3 linked regions of the Sus scrofa genome follow. The protein of the gene in region 1 interacts with the protein of each later gene in a biochemical or structural test. Links are inferred from orthologs where the notes say so. Each region holds a gene or a part of one and is shown in the gene's direction. Other genes may lie near its edges.

What was found.
Region 2: the proteins of NOXO1 (region 1) and NOXA1 form a complex in vitro, tested with the Homo sapiens proteins (2 studies listed by IntAct). The link is inferred for Sus scrofa from reciprocal best matches to the Homo sapiens genes NOXO1 and NOXA1.
Region 3: the proteins of NOXO1 (region 1) and CYBA form a complex in vitro, tested with the Homo sapiens proteins (3 studies listed by IntAct). The link is inferred for Sus scrofa from reciprocal best matches to the Homo sapiens genes NOXO1 and CYBA.

What each region holds. Positions count from the first base shown.
Region 1 is NC_010445.4:39,986,511-39,990,212, forward strand, and holds NOXO1 (NADPH oxidase organizer 1), read left to right. Parts: upstream 1-829; 5' UTR 830-1,065; coding exon 1,066-1,131; intron 1,132-1,221; coding exon 1,222-1,302; intron 1,303-1,404; coding exon 1,405-1,480; intron 1,481-1,578; coding exon 1,579-1,756; intron 1,757-1,876; coding exon 1,877-2,058; intron 2,059-2,138; coding exon 2,139-2,252; intron 2,253-2,557; coding exon 2,558-2,675; intron 2,676-2,752; coding exon 2,753-3,020; 3' UTR 3,021-3,130; downstream 3,131-3,702. Other genes in the region: TBL3 (transducin beta-like protein 3), read right to left, coding at 3,259-3,368, 3,446-3,604, 3,692-3,702. UniProt on the Homo sapiens protein: Constitutively potentiates the superoxide-generating activity of NOX1 and NOX3 and is required for the biogenesis of otoconia/otolith, which are crystalline structures of the inner ear involved in the perception of gravity.
Region 2 is NW_018084833.1:549,340-553,080, reverse strand, and holds the start of NOXA1 (NADPH oxidase activator 1), read left to right. Parts: upstream 1-1,329; 5' UTR 1,330-1,556; coding exon 1,557-1,733; intron 1,734-2,423; exon of another isoform or gene 2,424-2,852; intron 2,853-3,741.
Region 3 is NC_010448.4:1,014,221-1,017,961, forward strand, and holds the start of CYBA (cytochrome b-245 light chain), read left to right. Parts: upstream 1-998; coding exon 999-1,056; intron 1,057-3,741. UniProt on the Homo sapiens protein: Subunit of NADPH oxidase complexes that is required for the NADPH oxidase activity that generates, in various cell types, superoxide from molecular oxygen utilizing NADPH as an electron donor.

The sequences.
Region 1 (3,702 bases):
CTCTGCAGCTGCTCTGGTGGCTTCTGTGGCGAAGGGTTTGACCCCTGGCCCAGGAACTTTCACATGCTATGGATGTGGCCAAACGGAAACAGAAAACAAAAAACAAACCAGCAGAGTCCTAGTCACCACCTCTCCCGTCCCCCAAGTGCTGGTGCCTGGAGGTGGATGCTCTACATCCCGCCCCAGGTCCGTCCACCGCAGGGGAACTGATGCTCTGAGCCTGTGAAGTCTGTCTTTCCCCAACACGTACAGACAAAACCCCTGACAGTTAATAGCCATTTAACATAAATTCCTCCTCTGTGACTTGGGGACGTTAAGAGACCTTTCCTCCTGGACCTCCCATCATGGCTCAGTGGTTAACGAAGCCGACTACTGTCCATGAGGACATGGATTCATTCCCTGCCTCACTCAATGGATTACGGATCCCGTGTTGCTGTGAGCTGTGGTGTAGGTCGCAGACATGCCTCAGTTCCCGCTGCTGTGGCGGTGGTGCAGGCTGGCAGCTACAGCTGCTATTTGACCTCTAGCCTGGGAACCTCCATACGCTGGGTGCGGCCCTTTAAAGAAGAAAACACAGAGAGACCTTTCCTCTAAAGAGAGGATTACACCAAAGCACTTAAAGCCTTTGGCACCGGGCCACTGGTTCCTGATGACCACTGCAGACAGCTCCCCAGGGAGTTCAAAGCCAGAGCCAAGGGCCCTACGTTGGGTGTGGGAGGGGCCAGGCCTGGCGGCACTTTGATGGCTCTTCCTTCTCCTCCTCCCAAGGCCAGGCTCCTCTGATAGGAGGGCCTCAGGGTGCAGTCCCAGCCCCCCCACTCTGCTTCTCCTCCCACCCAGGCCCTGTGCTCCTGCCCCTCCGCTCCTCAGGTCAGGGGTGCAGTGAGGAAGCTGCAAAGGACCCAGTCGGGCAGGGAAGTGCGGCCAAGACCTGGCAGGGCTGGGGCACCGCTGGGGAATTCCAGTCTTCCGGGTGCCTGGCAGGCGGGGAGGCAGTGGACTGACCCTTGGCCACACCCGACAGGCTCCAGAAGCTGACGACAGAGACCCGGGGCGGCCCCAGTGATGGCAGGCCCGCGGCACCCGGTGTCCGTGAGCGGGGCAGCTCTGGTGCAGACAGAGAGGCTCCAGGTAGGAACCAACGGGACACCTGCCGGCCGCAAGGGGCAGGGAGGGAGTTCCCAGCCCAGTCTATCCAAGACGCCCCCCTTCCTCCACCAGACATTTGCCTTTTCTGTGCACTGGTCGGATGAGAGCGAAGCCTTTGTACGCAGAAGCTGGGACGAGTTCAGGAGACTCCATGTGAGTGGGCTTCTAGCCCTCAAGACCCTGGCAAGGGTCCCCCACCCTCGCAGGGGCACCCAGTGGGGCCTCAGAGACCCACATGCCCATTCTTGCCCTCAGAAGACGCTCAAGGAGATCTTCCCGGTGGAGGCGGGCCTGCTGCGGCGGTCGGACCGCATCCTCCCCAAGCTTCCTGGTCAGGCCAGCGGGGATCCCAGCAGGGGTGGGGGCGGCAGCGGTCTGATGGGGGGCCCTGGGGCGTGGTACCATGCTGTGTCCCCACCCTGCCCCCAGATGCATCGGCGTTGGTGCACCGGGGGCGCACGGGCCGAGGCCTGGCGCGCCTGCGGCTTCTGGAGACCTACTCAAGGGCCCTGCTGGCAGCAGGAGAGCGTGTGTCCCGCAGCCCAGTACTCACTGGCTTCTTTGCGCCACAACCTACAGACCTGGAACCTGCGCTACCACCTGGCAGGTGTCTGACACCCCCCCACCACACCACCGACTCTGCTGGCAGAAGCATTTGGAGGATGGGGGAGGCAAGGTGGAGGGAAAGTCAGTCCCGCAGACCTCACCCACCCTCTGCTCTCGCCAGCCGGGTGATCCTGCCCACCCTGGAAGAGCCCCTACCAGGCCCCACAGGCAGCCTTGCCATCCACAGCCTGGAGGCTCAGAGCCTGCGCTGCCTGCAGCCCTTCAGTACCCAGGACGTGTGGGGTCAGCCGTTCTACGCCGGGGCCCAGGAGGCCCTGGGTGTGCTGCTGCGACACCCCTCAGGTGAGTCTGGGGACACGCCCTTCTGCCCCTGGGGTCCCAGTAGGCCTCAGGATCTGAAGCACCCCGCCCCTTGGGCACAGGCTGGTGGCTGGTTGTCAACGAGGACCAGCAGACGGCATGGTTTCCTTCTCCCTACCTGGAGGAGGGGGCCCCCGGCCCAGGACGAGACGGGGATCGGCGCCTGGGGAGCCACAGTGAGACCAATTCCCCTCCCCACACCCACCACGACCACCACCGGGCCGTGTTTGGCAAGGACGGGCCGCAAGAAGTACCCAAGCCAGGAGAGGGAGGCTGTGGGACAACTGGGTGGTGACAGTGGCCCTGCCGTGTGTGTTCCCCAGAGTGAGCCAGAGACCCAGTGGGTTGAGCGTGGCCCCTGGTGTCAGCAGAGAAACGAACAGGGGAAAGCCTGGAGATGGTGACGTGGCAGGAGACAGCGTGGGGACTGAGGCAGGGCGGGGGCCTCCGGTCCCAGGTAACCACCAATGTCCATTCCCAGGGCCCCAGTTCTGCGCCTCCCGTGCCTACGAGAGCAGCCAAGCTGATGAGCTGTCAGTGCCCGTGGGGGCCCGTGTGCATGTGCTGGAAACCTCGGACCGTGGCTGGTGGCTGTGCAGGTGCCTGTGGCAGGGCAGGGCTCTGGTGGTTCGGCCAGGGGCAGACCCGGTGCTAACCAGCCCCGCCCTCCCCACAGGTTCCAGGGCCGCACCGGTCTTCTTCCTGCTGTGATACTGCAGCCCGACGGGCTGGGCACACTCCTCAGCGGGCCCCGGCTCCACCCGGGGGCAGATGGAGGGGAGGACAGGGAGGGCGAGGCCCGAAGCGCCCCCAAGTCCCCCCAGGCCCAGGCCCTTCCCCCGCCCGTGCCTGCCCACCCACCGCTGAGTGCCATCCGGAGCCGCTGCTGCACCATCACCCGAAAGGCGCTGGGGCAGGACCCAGGGTGTCAGGGACCGCCTTGAGTGCGTGTGACCCTCGTGGGGGGGCTGTGGGAGGAGCAGCTCAGGGTGGGACTCCCTGGCTGGCAGGGACTTGTCCTCTGAGTAAAGCTCTCCTCACTGACCCCCACCCAGTGGCGGTGCTCTGTGGGCCTGTGGGGTCTCAGCCAGGGTTGGGGCTGGGCGGTGGCCCAGGCCCTGGGGTGCGACAAAGCCCAGACAGACACAGGGAGCAGAGATCAAAGTCCATTTTTCTGGGGGTTTAGAGGGCTGGGGGCGCTGCGGGGAGCGTGGGCAGCTTCATGCTGTGCCACAGGAAGTCCAGGAAGGCGGCCGCCTGCAGTGTCCGGCTGAGCCGCTGGAAGTGCCGCTCTGGGGGGGGACAGCAGCTGTCAGGGCCCACGGGTCTGGCGGCCGGGCCCCCGCCCTGATCCAGGCAGCCCACATACCAGTGTAGGGCAGCAGGGCCTCAAGGGAGGCCCGCACGCCATCGTAGGCCAGCAGCTCTTCCGGGGCCTCGTGCCGCAGGAGCATGCCCAGCACAGCCTGGGCTTCGTGGCAGTGCCGTGAATTGGTGTTCCACGTGACACAGAAGCGCAGCAAGGCCTCTGGGGGTGACAGGGACGGTCAGACCTGCCTGCCAGCCACCCCAGGCTCAGCAGGCACCGTCCAGCCCCACCCCGCCCTCCCCAGACCTTTCTGGTCT
Region 2 (3,741 bases), on another chromosome or scaffold:
GTCTGTGGGACAGGTTGAGGCACCTGTAGCCCCCTCCCCCTGCCGACTTAGAGAAGAGGCTCATGGTGCTGCCCCAGGGCCCTAGGGGCAGGCACGACCTCCCTCTGTCTGCAGCTGCATCAGGCTGGAGAGATGCTTCTCCTTTCTCTGTGGAGGAGCGGGGGCGGGGGGGGACCTCCTGGTGTTCGCGGTGTGAAACCGACTACAGGGAACCCCATGCACACAGGAGCTCTCACACACCGCCACTCCTAGGTCTGCAGACCAGAACGGGAAGACGCTACCTCTGCACTCCTAAAAGCGAGACGGCACTCCTCTGCTACCCAGGGGAAAGGAAGATTGTTCCCCAGCCCGGCAACAGCCCAGCCAATGAGAGGCGCGCGCACAGCCCCGCCCCCGCCGCCCGGCCTCCATTTCCTCCAATGGGATCGCCTTCCGAGCAGCCCCGCCCCACGCCCTCCTTTTTCTCTAAGGAGCCACGAGCGGGACTCGCCTGTCGTTTCCGCTACGGCCCACGTGTCCTGCGCTGCAGTTCTCCGCTGTTCCTGAATAAACCCATTTTGCTGATAAAATAACTGGCCGTTTTAAGGTCAACAAGGGACCTGTGCCCTGCCGGGAGGGCACACAGCAGCTCTGTGCTCGACCTCCAGGGACGAGCCCCGGCCACCCTCAGTGGGGCCCACCTGCCCACAGTCCTACGGGCTGAGAGAAAGATGGGGAGGGCGGGGTCTCCCCCGGGGCAGGACACGGCACCCTGACGGATGACCTCCGCCGCGGGCCTCAGCCTCCGACCTGGGGTCCTAGACAGGCTTTGCCCAGCGCGGGTGAGCGCTGACCCGCCCTTGGGTCCCTCCCGGCCGCGTCCGTGTCCAGGCTGGCCGCGGGCGCGGGAGGCCCCAGACCGCCTGTGACCCGAGCCCCGGCCCAGGACGGGCTCCTCGGGCCCCGCCCCTCGCAGACTCGGCCCGCGCCCCGAGGTCGCTCACCTGAGCCCGCGGGGTCCGCCCGGAACCTTGGCCCGGCGGCGGCAGCGGCGTCAGCAGCGGGCCGGATGGCTTTTCCTAGCGCACCGAGGCCGACGCGGCCGGGAAGCGCGAGAGCGAGGAGCCTCAGGCGATAGTGCGGGGGGGGGGGGGGCTCGCTCGGGGGAGGAGCCAGGCCTCAAGTTGGGGCGGGGCGGGAGGCAATTGGGGCGGGGCTTGACCGGGGGCGTGGCTGTGGGTGGAGCCCGGCCGCTAGTGGGGGGCGGGGCTGACGGAGTGTGGCCGCTCTGCCGCCAGGGGGCGCCGTGGGCCGCAGGAGGCTCGGCACACCTGGCGCCCCCCCCCCCCCCCCCCCCCGCCACCGCCCAAGTTCCTGGCTCCTGGATCAGTTGCCGACCCTCCTGTCCGCCTCGGAGGGTCCCCGCAGCTCCACGCCGATCTCTGGCTCCCCGGGTCCCTGCCTCGCGGACCTCAGCCCCCAGCCACCCCACCAGACCCCTAACGGGACCCCACTGCCGCGCTCCGGCCGGGAAGCGCCGATTTCCGCCGTGCGGCCAGGCTGGTGTCCGCGCCGCCATGCTCTCGCTCGGGGACCTGGTGCGCGACTGGCACCGGGGCGCGCAGGCTGTGGCGCGCGGAGATTGGGGCTGCGCCCTGCGCCTCTTCTCGGGCATTCCAGAGCCGCCTGCCAGGATGAGCTTCAACGTGGGCTGCGTGCACCTGCTGGCGGGGGACCCGGAGGCTGCGCTGCAGGTGAGTCAGGGCGCCTGCCAGCCGTGCCCCCCAGGATTGGTAGCGGCGGCCCCACCTCTGGGAGACGCTGTTCTCCCTCCCTGGGGTTTCAGTGAGAGGTGAGATAAAGACCCAGCTGCAGGGGCGAGTCCAGCACCCACCCATCCCCACCGCCGCCTGCCGATGTCACCCCTCAATGAACACCTAACGCAGGTGGGAGCTGTGTGGGCGGTGGACCCACCTTGAGCTGAGGTCAGGGCCAGGATGGGGTTGCAGGGCTCCCACCCTGCCTCTAGTATGTGGTGACCATGTGCCAGACTCTGCAGGGGTGGGGAAAGACCTCCCTGAACACTGGCTCCAGTGCTCACCTCCTCGGTGCTAGAGTGCTGGAAAGAGGCTCCAGGCCGGACTGGGCTGGGAAGGGGCTTCCGCAGACACCTGCGGTGATGGCCAGGAGTCAAGGTGTGTCTGGTGGGTGCCCACACCCCAGATCTGAGTGCTCGCCTGACTCCCACGCACTCCCCAAAGCCAAGCGCACACAGGCGCTCACCTGCCTTGGCCGAGGGGGTGGCGCAGAGCCACTGCCTGCCCTTCAAGGGCTCCAGCTTCATCACAGTGGTGCGCTCCCACGGGTGCAGGACGAGAAGCCAGCAGCACCCTGCCCACTGCTCTGGTCCTGGGATCACCCCTCAGAAAGAACCAGGCTCCTACCTTGCTCAGCCACTGGTGACAGCCACCGAAGCCACGCGAGTTAGAAGAGACTGAGACGTTACAGGCAGCTGTCGTCATCAGTGTCTCGAAGGCTTCGGCCCTGGGGGAAACTGGGTCACGTGTGCTGGGGACCTGCCCTGTCCGTTTCTCACGTCTGTGTGCAAATCCACCATTGTCTCAGCAGTGATGGCAGGGCTGAAAGGTCTCCAGCCCTGGGGGGTCAGCGGGGAAGGCCCATCCGTCACCACTCACTCTAACGCAAGATTTAGCCAGCGAGAGGGGAGAAGGTTCGCAGCAGAGCGGCTTCAATTCTCCTCCACCTCACAGGAGACGAGTTCCGTCTAAAGACAACACAGCCAAGTAGCAAAAGCATGGGCATGCTGGGTAGAAACACGGAGAATTTTAAAAAGCAGATGGAGGAGTTCCCATTGTGGCTCAGCAGTAACGAACCTGACTGGCACCCATGAGGATGCGGGTTCGATCCCTGGCCTTGCTCAGTGGGTTAACGATCCGGCGTTGCTGTGAGCTGTGGTATAGATCGCAGACGCAGCTCAGATCTGCTGTGGCTGTGGCTGTGGTGGAGGCCGGCAGCTGCAGCTCCGATTGGACCCCTAGCCTGGGAACCTCCATATGCCACGGGTGCGGCCCTAAAAAGACAAAAATAAATAAAAAGCAGATGGAACAGCTACAATGAATGAAGCTGATTGTCTCTAAGGACCTCTGAGGAGGGTGGAGTGTGGCTGGGCTGCAGGGTGTCGGTAGGAACCCCATGGGAGCTTGAGTTGGCTGCCCCGAGTGGCTCAACAAGCCCCCACTTGGCCAGATCTGATAGGGAAGGACCATGGCGCCCTTGTGTTCCTGCATTTAACTTTTTTTTTTTTTGTCTTTTTGCTATTTCTTTGGGCCGCTCCCGCGGCATATGGCACATACGCGTCTGTGACCTACACCACAGCTCATGGCAACGCCGGATCCTTAACCCGCTGAGCAAGGGCAGGGATCGAACCCGCAACCTCATGGTTCCTAGTCGGATTCGTTAACCACTGTGCCACGACGGGAACTCCTCCTGCATTTAACTTGGCTGTGGTATGCTCTCCTCTGGCTTGCGTTTAACTGGTGGCTGCTGTCCTCCCTAGGAACAGACAGTGACATTTCTGGGTCAAAGTTTAAGGAAGATGGTACAGCAGAAAATGATCACGACATTGTAAATCCACTATACGTCAGTAAAACTTCAAAAACGAGACGAAAATTTTGAAAAAGAAAGAGCAGCGCTTTGCACACATATTAGGTCGTTTGTATTGCTGTTCTTTCTGATTCTGAA
Region 3 (3,741 bases), on another chromosome or scaffold:
GTGCCCTGCCGGACCCTGAGCTCAGGCCCCGCGCGTGCAGCATCCTCTGTGCCGAGAAGTGAAGTAAAGGCTGTGGAACTGGCTCTGCCTGGCCTGCTCTCTCTGGGTCACCCTGCGGGGCAGCGCTCACCCCAAGCGGGCGCGGGACGGGACCCACCTTCCGCCCCTGCTCACCCCACAGCCACAGCCATGGCCACACCTGGCAGATGTGATCACTAAGGCTGACCAGCTGGGGACAAGGTTTGGGCCCAGGAAGGAGGGTGGGACACGGCTTTGCGGGCAGGAGGGCTGACGGGCCGAAGCTGCCGTCTGAACCCACAGGCCCTCCTTCCCAGGGAGCTGCTCTTCCGCGTCCCTCCCCACTGCCCTAACCGCCCTCTGACTCCTCCCAAGGGTCAGCCACCTGCTGGCTGGAGAGTGCTGACCTTGACCCTGCAGGGGGCGGAGGAAGGAGGCAGCAAAAGGCCAGGGCCTGGGCCTCCTGCATCCTGGACTTTCTCAGAAGCTCCCCAGACCCTCAACTTAATCCCTGAGCAAAGGGTTGCCCGCTGCCCGTGGTGGCCCCGGGCCACCCCTGCCTTAGTGCAGGGCCCGGTGGGGTGGGGGCTGGGCCTGCACTGCACTGAGCTCCAGGGAGGGAGCCCCACGAGGCTGGGGCGTTGGGGGTCCTGGCCTGAGCCCTTGCTCCCTCTGCAGGAGTCTGGCGAGGCCAGGCTTCTGGGCCCGCCGAGGAAGAAGGCCTGGGTAGGCGGGCAGGGCCCCTTCCTGAGCTTCTGGTGCCCAGGCCCTCGTGAAGGGGGTGGGGGCTAGGTTCCGCAGGCAGCCCTGGGACCCCGCCTGCTGGCCAGGCCTGTCACCTGGGGAACCCGGGCTGGGGCTGGGTGGTGGGCGGAGCCGGAACTGGGGGAACTGGGGGCGGAGCTGGAGGCAGGCGGAGCCCTGGGGCAGCGGGTGGAAGGGTCTGAGCTGCGTCTGGTGGTGCTGGCAGTGCCATCGCCATGGGACAGATCGAGTGGGCCATGTGGGCCAACGAGCAGGCGCTGGCGTCTGGCCTGAGTGAGTGGGGCCGGGGCTCCCACAACTGGGGGCTGCAGAGGGTGGCTGAGCCTGGAGCGCGGGCAGGCGGCAACCTGGCGGGGGGCCGGGGGGTTGGGGGGGTGGGAGGGAGCAGGGCCCGGGTACCCCAGGGTGCAGGCTGAGGAATCGGGGAAGGAGCAAAGGGGCAGGCTCGGGGTGGGGGGTACTGATGATCCAGGAAGTCGGCTGGAGGCCCAGAGACTGGATGTGCAGCTCGCGGCGGGCAGGAATCTGGGGGCTCGTGTTGGGAGCAGGCTGCAGCCACCAGAGCCAAGGCTTTGGGCTGCGGAAGGGGGTTTGGGGGCCCTCAGGCCCCCGCAGACCCATCGTGCCCTACCCCCATCCTCTAATCTCCCCATTTCTCCGCTCCCCCAAAAGAGGAAGTTGCAGTCGGAGAAAAGGCGTTTTGCCCCCGCCCACCGCCCCCTAACCCCCGGTGGTTTCCGGAGAGTCACTGCCCAGCAGGGTTGGGAAAACCCAGCCTGATGCACCCCATGGCCCCTCCTACCCTGGCGTGGGGGCTCCCTCGCCCAGGACCACCCCTCTCTCTGGGGCCCAGCCCTGAGTCTGCTCAGGACACTGCACTTGGCAGCTGTAAACGGCCCCTGTGCCCCCCTCCCACCCAGCTCCCAGGGCCTGCCTCTGGTGGGGGAGCAGGTCTGCAGCCTGTACTGGGACGACGCACTGGGACACACTGGGATGCTGGAATGTCTCAGGAGGGGCAGGGTCTGAGGCAAGAGGAAGCAGCTCAGGGCTCTGCCCTCCCAGGAAGGCCCTGCACCCCGGGGGAGTGGGCGGACGAAGGGGAGGGAAATACGGGAAAGGGGGGGCCTAGCCCACCACGGTCACCTGGGGCCCATCCCGGGGAGGAGAGCACAGGTGGTCACATTTGGGGGGTGCCCCCACAGGCTGCTCTGTGTCCAGGCAGGCCAGCCCGCCTCTGGTCTAGTCTCAGTGGGTCAGTGGGTGGCTCTCTCCTCACTTCTGCCTGGAGCTGTGACCTCAGCTGCCCCCCACCCCCCAAGCACAGGTCAGCCGCGCCGCGGCTCCACTTACGAGTACAACTCAGCTTCCTCTACCATCAAAGGACTTTTCCTCCTGACTCAGTACCAACTGGGCGCCCAGGCACCCCGCAGCCCTCAATCCCCGTAATTGCAGGGAGCCCCACGGAGGCTGAGCACGCCCCTCCAGCCTCTCAGCCGGGAGCTCAAGGGCCGACTCCCCCGCTCACCTCTCAGCTCACATCCACCTGCTCTCAGAGCAGCTAGCCCCACCTACCCCCACCTAACATGCCCTCACAACAATGCAGCGCTGAGTCCCAGCCGGACCCGGAGGCCCTGCGTGCACCCCTGGCCTCTTGGCGCCTCTCCTGTTGACGACGAGGCTCAGGCCTAGGAAACGGCACCCCGGGACGTGTGGACGTGGTGCTGCCCAAGCCCAGGAAATGGCCCTTCCCTCCCGACAGCTCGCAAAGGTGCTGACCGCACAGCGGGCAGGCGTGAAGGCGGCTGAGGTGCCGGGGGTGCCGGGAGTCAGGGCTTTTACCCAGTGGGATCTGGGGATGAAGCTGAGCTGCACTCCTGAAGCCAGAGCTGGGGAGGGCTGCCTGAACCAGAAACAGACCAGATCGCTCCCTGCAAGGAAATGGGCCATCTGCCACCGGAGTCCAGATGGGAAAGTCACCAACAAGACACAACCGCTGGAAACTCAGGCCTGCGCTGGGCTTGGTGCGGGGCTCCCCTCCCTCCCCCTGGGGCACAGGGACCACCAATGAGGAAGTTGGGGTCACCGGACAGGACTGCCAAAGGATGCGGTCCAGCAGTAGCAAAGCCGGGTCCAGAGGGAAGGACAGTCCACTGACTGTTAACGATTAATAGTCAAGGGTAATTCGGGTGAGACTGGAGCTGCACATTCTAAGGTCCACACACGGATCCAGAAGCGGAATCTTAAAGTTTGATCTAGTCAGCAGAAGGCAGCAGAAGCAACAAACAACTCTTGTTGAAGAGAAAAAGCAAATAAAACAAGGATTTATCTGCAACCTAGTGTTACAGTCATTATCAAATTGGTTCCGGTGTAAAAACTCGAGCTTTGTCAGCTTCTTCAAAACGGCCCCAAACTGGAAACAAGTGGCATGTCCCAAAAGCGGGAGAAAGGGTAAAGAAACGGTTGATGGACACAGTAGAAGCTGCTGGACAAGCGAAGGAGTGAGCTGGTGCTCCCAGCAGACCACCACGTGGAGCCTGGACAAAGCACATTTCTAGATGCCAGGAAACCTGTACCCAGGGAACCCCTGGAAATCCTGGGGACGGGTGGCGCGGACCGGCCCGACACCGTGGGAGGGCTTCATGCCCCCAGCCCCAGGCTTATGGTACCACCACCACGAAATTACTGGGGAGAAAAACCGCGATCCCGCAGCCCGCAGCACAGCCCCCACAGAGCCAGGTAAAGGGCTGGGAGAGGCAGACTCGCCCAGGACGACAGCGACAGCGACCACGAACCCCCAGCGAGGAGAATCGCGGGGCAGGTACATAATCCACAACCAACAGTGGAGCTGGAAACGCACAAAGCGGAGCCTCAAAGCGACCAGGTCACAGCTGAGCCGCCCCCGCGTGCCCGCAGCGGTCCTCGGCTCCCTCCCCCCGGTCGGTGCCGCAAGGCTTCCCG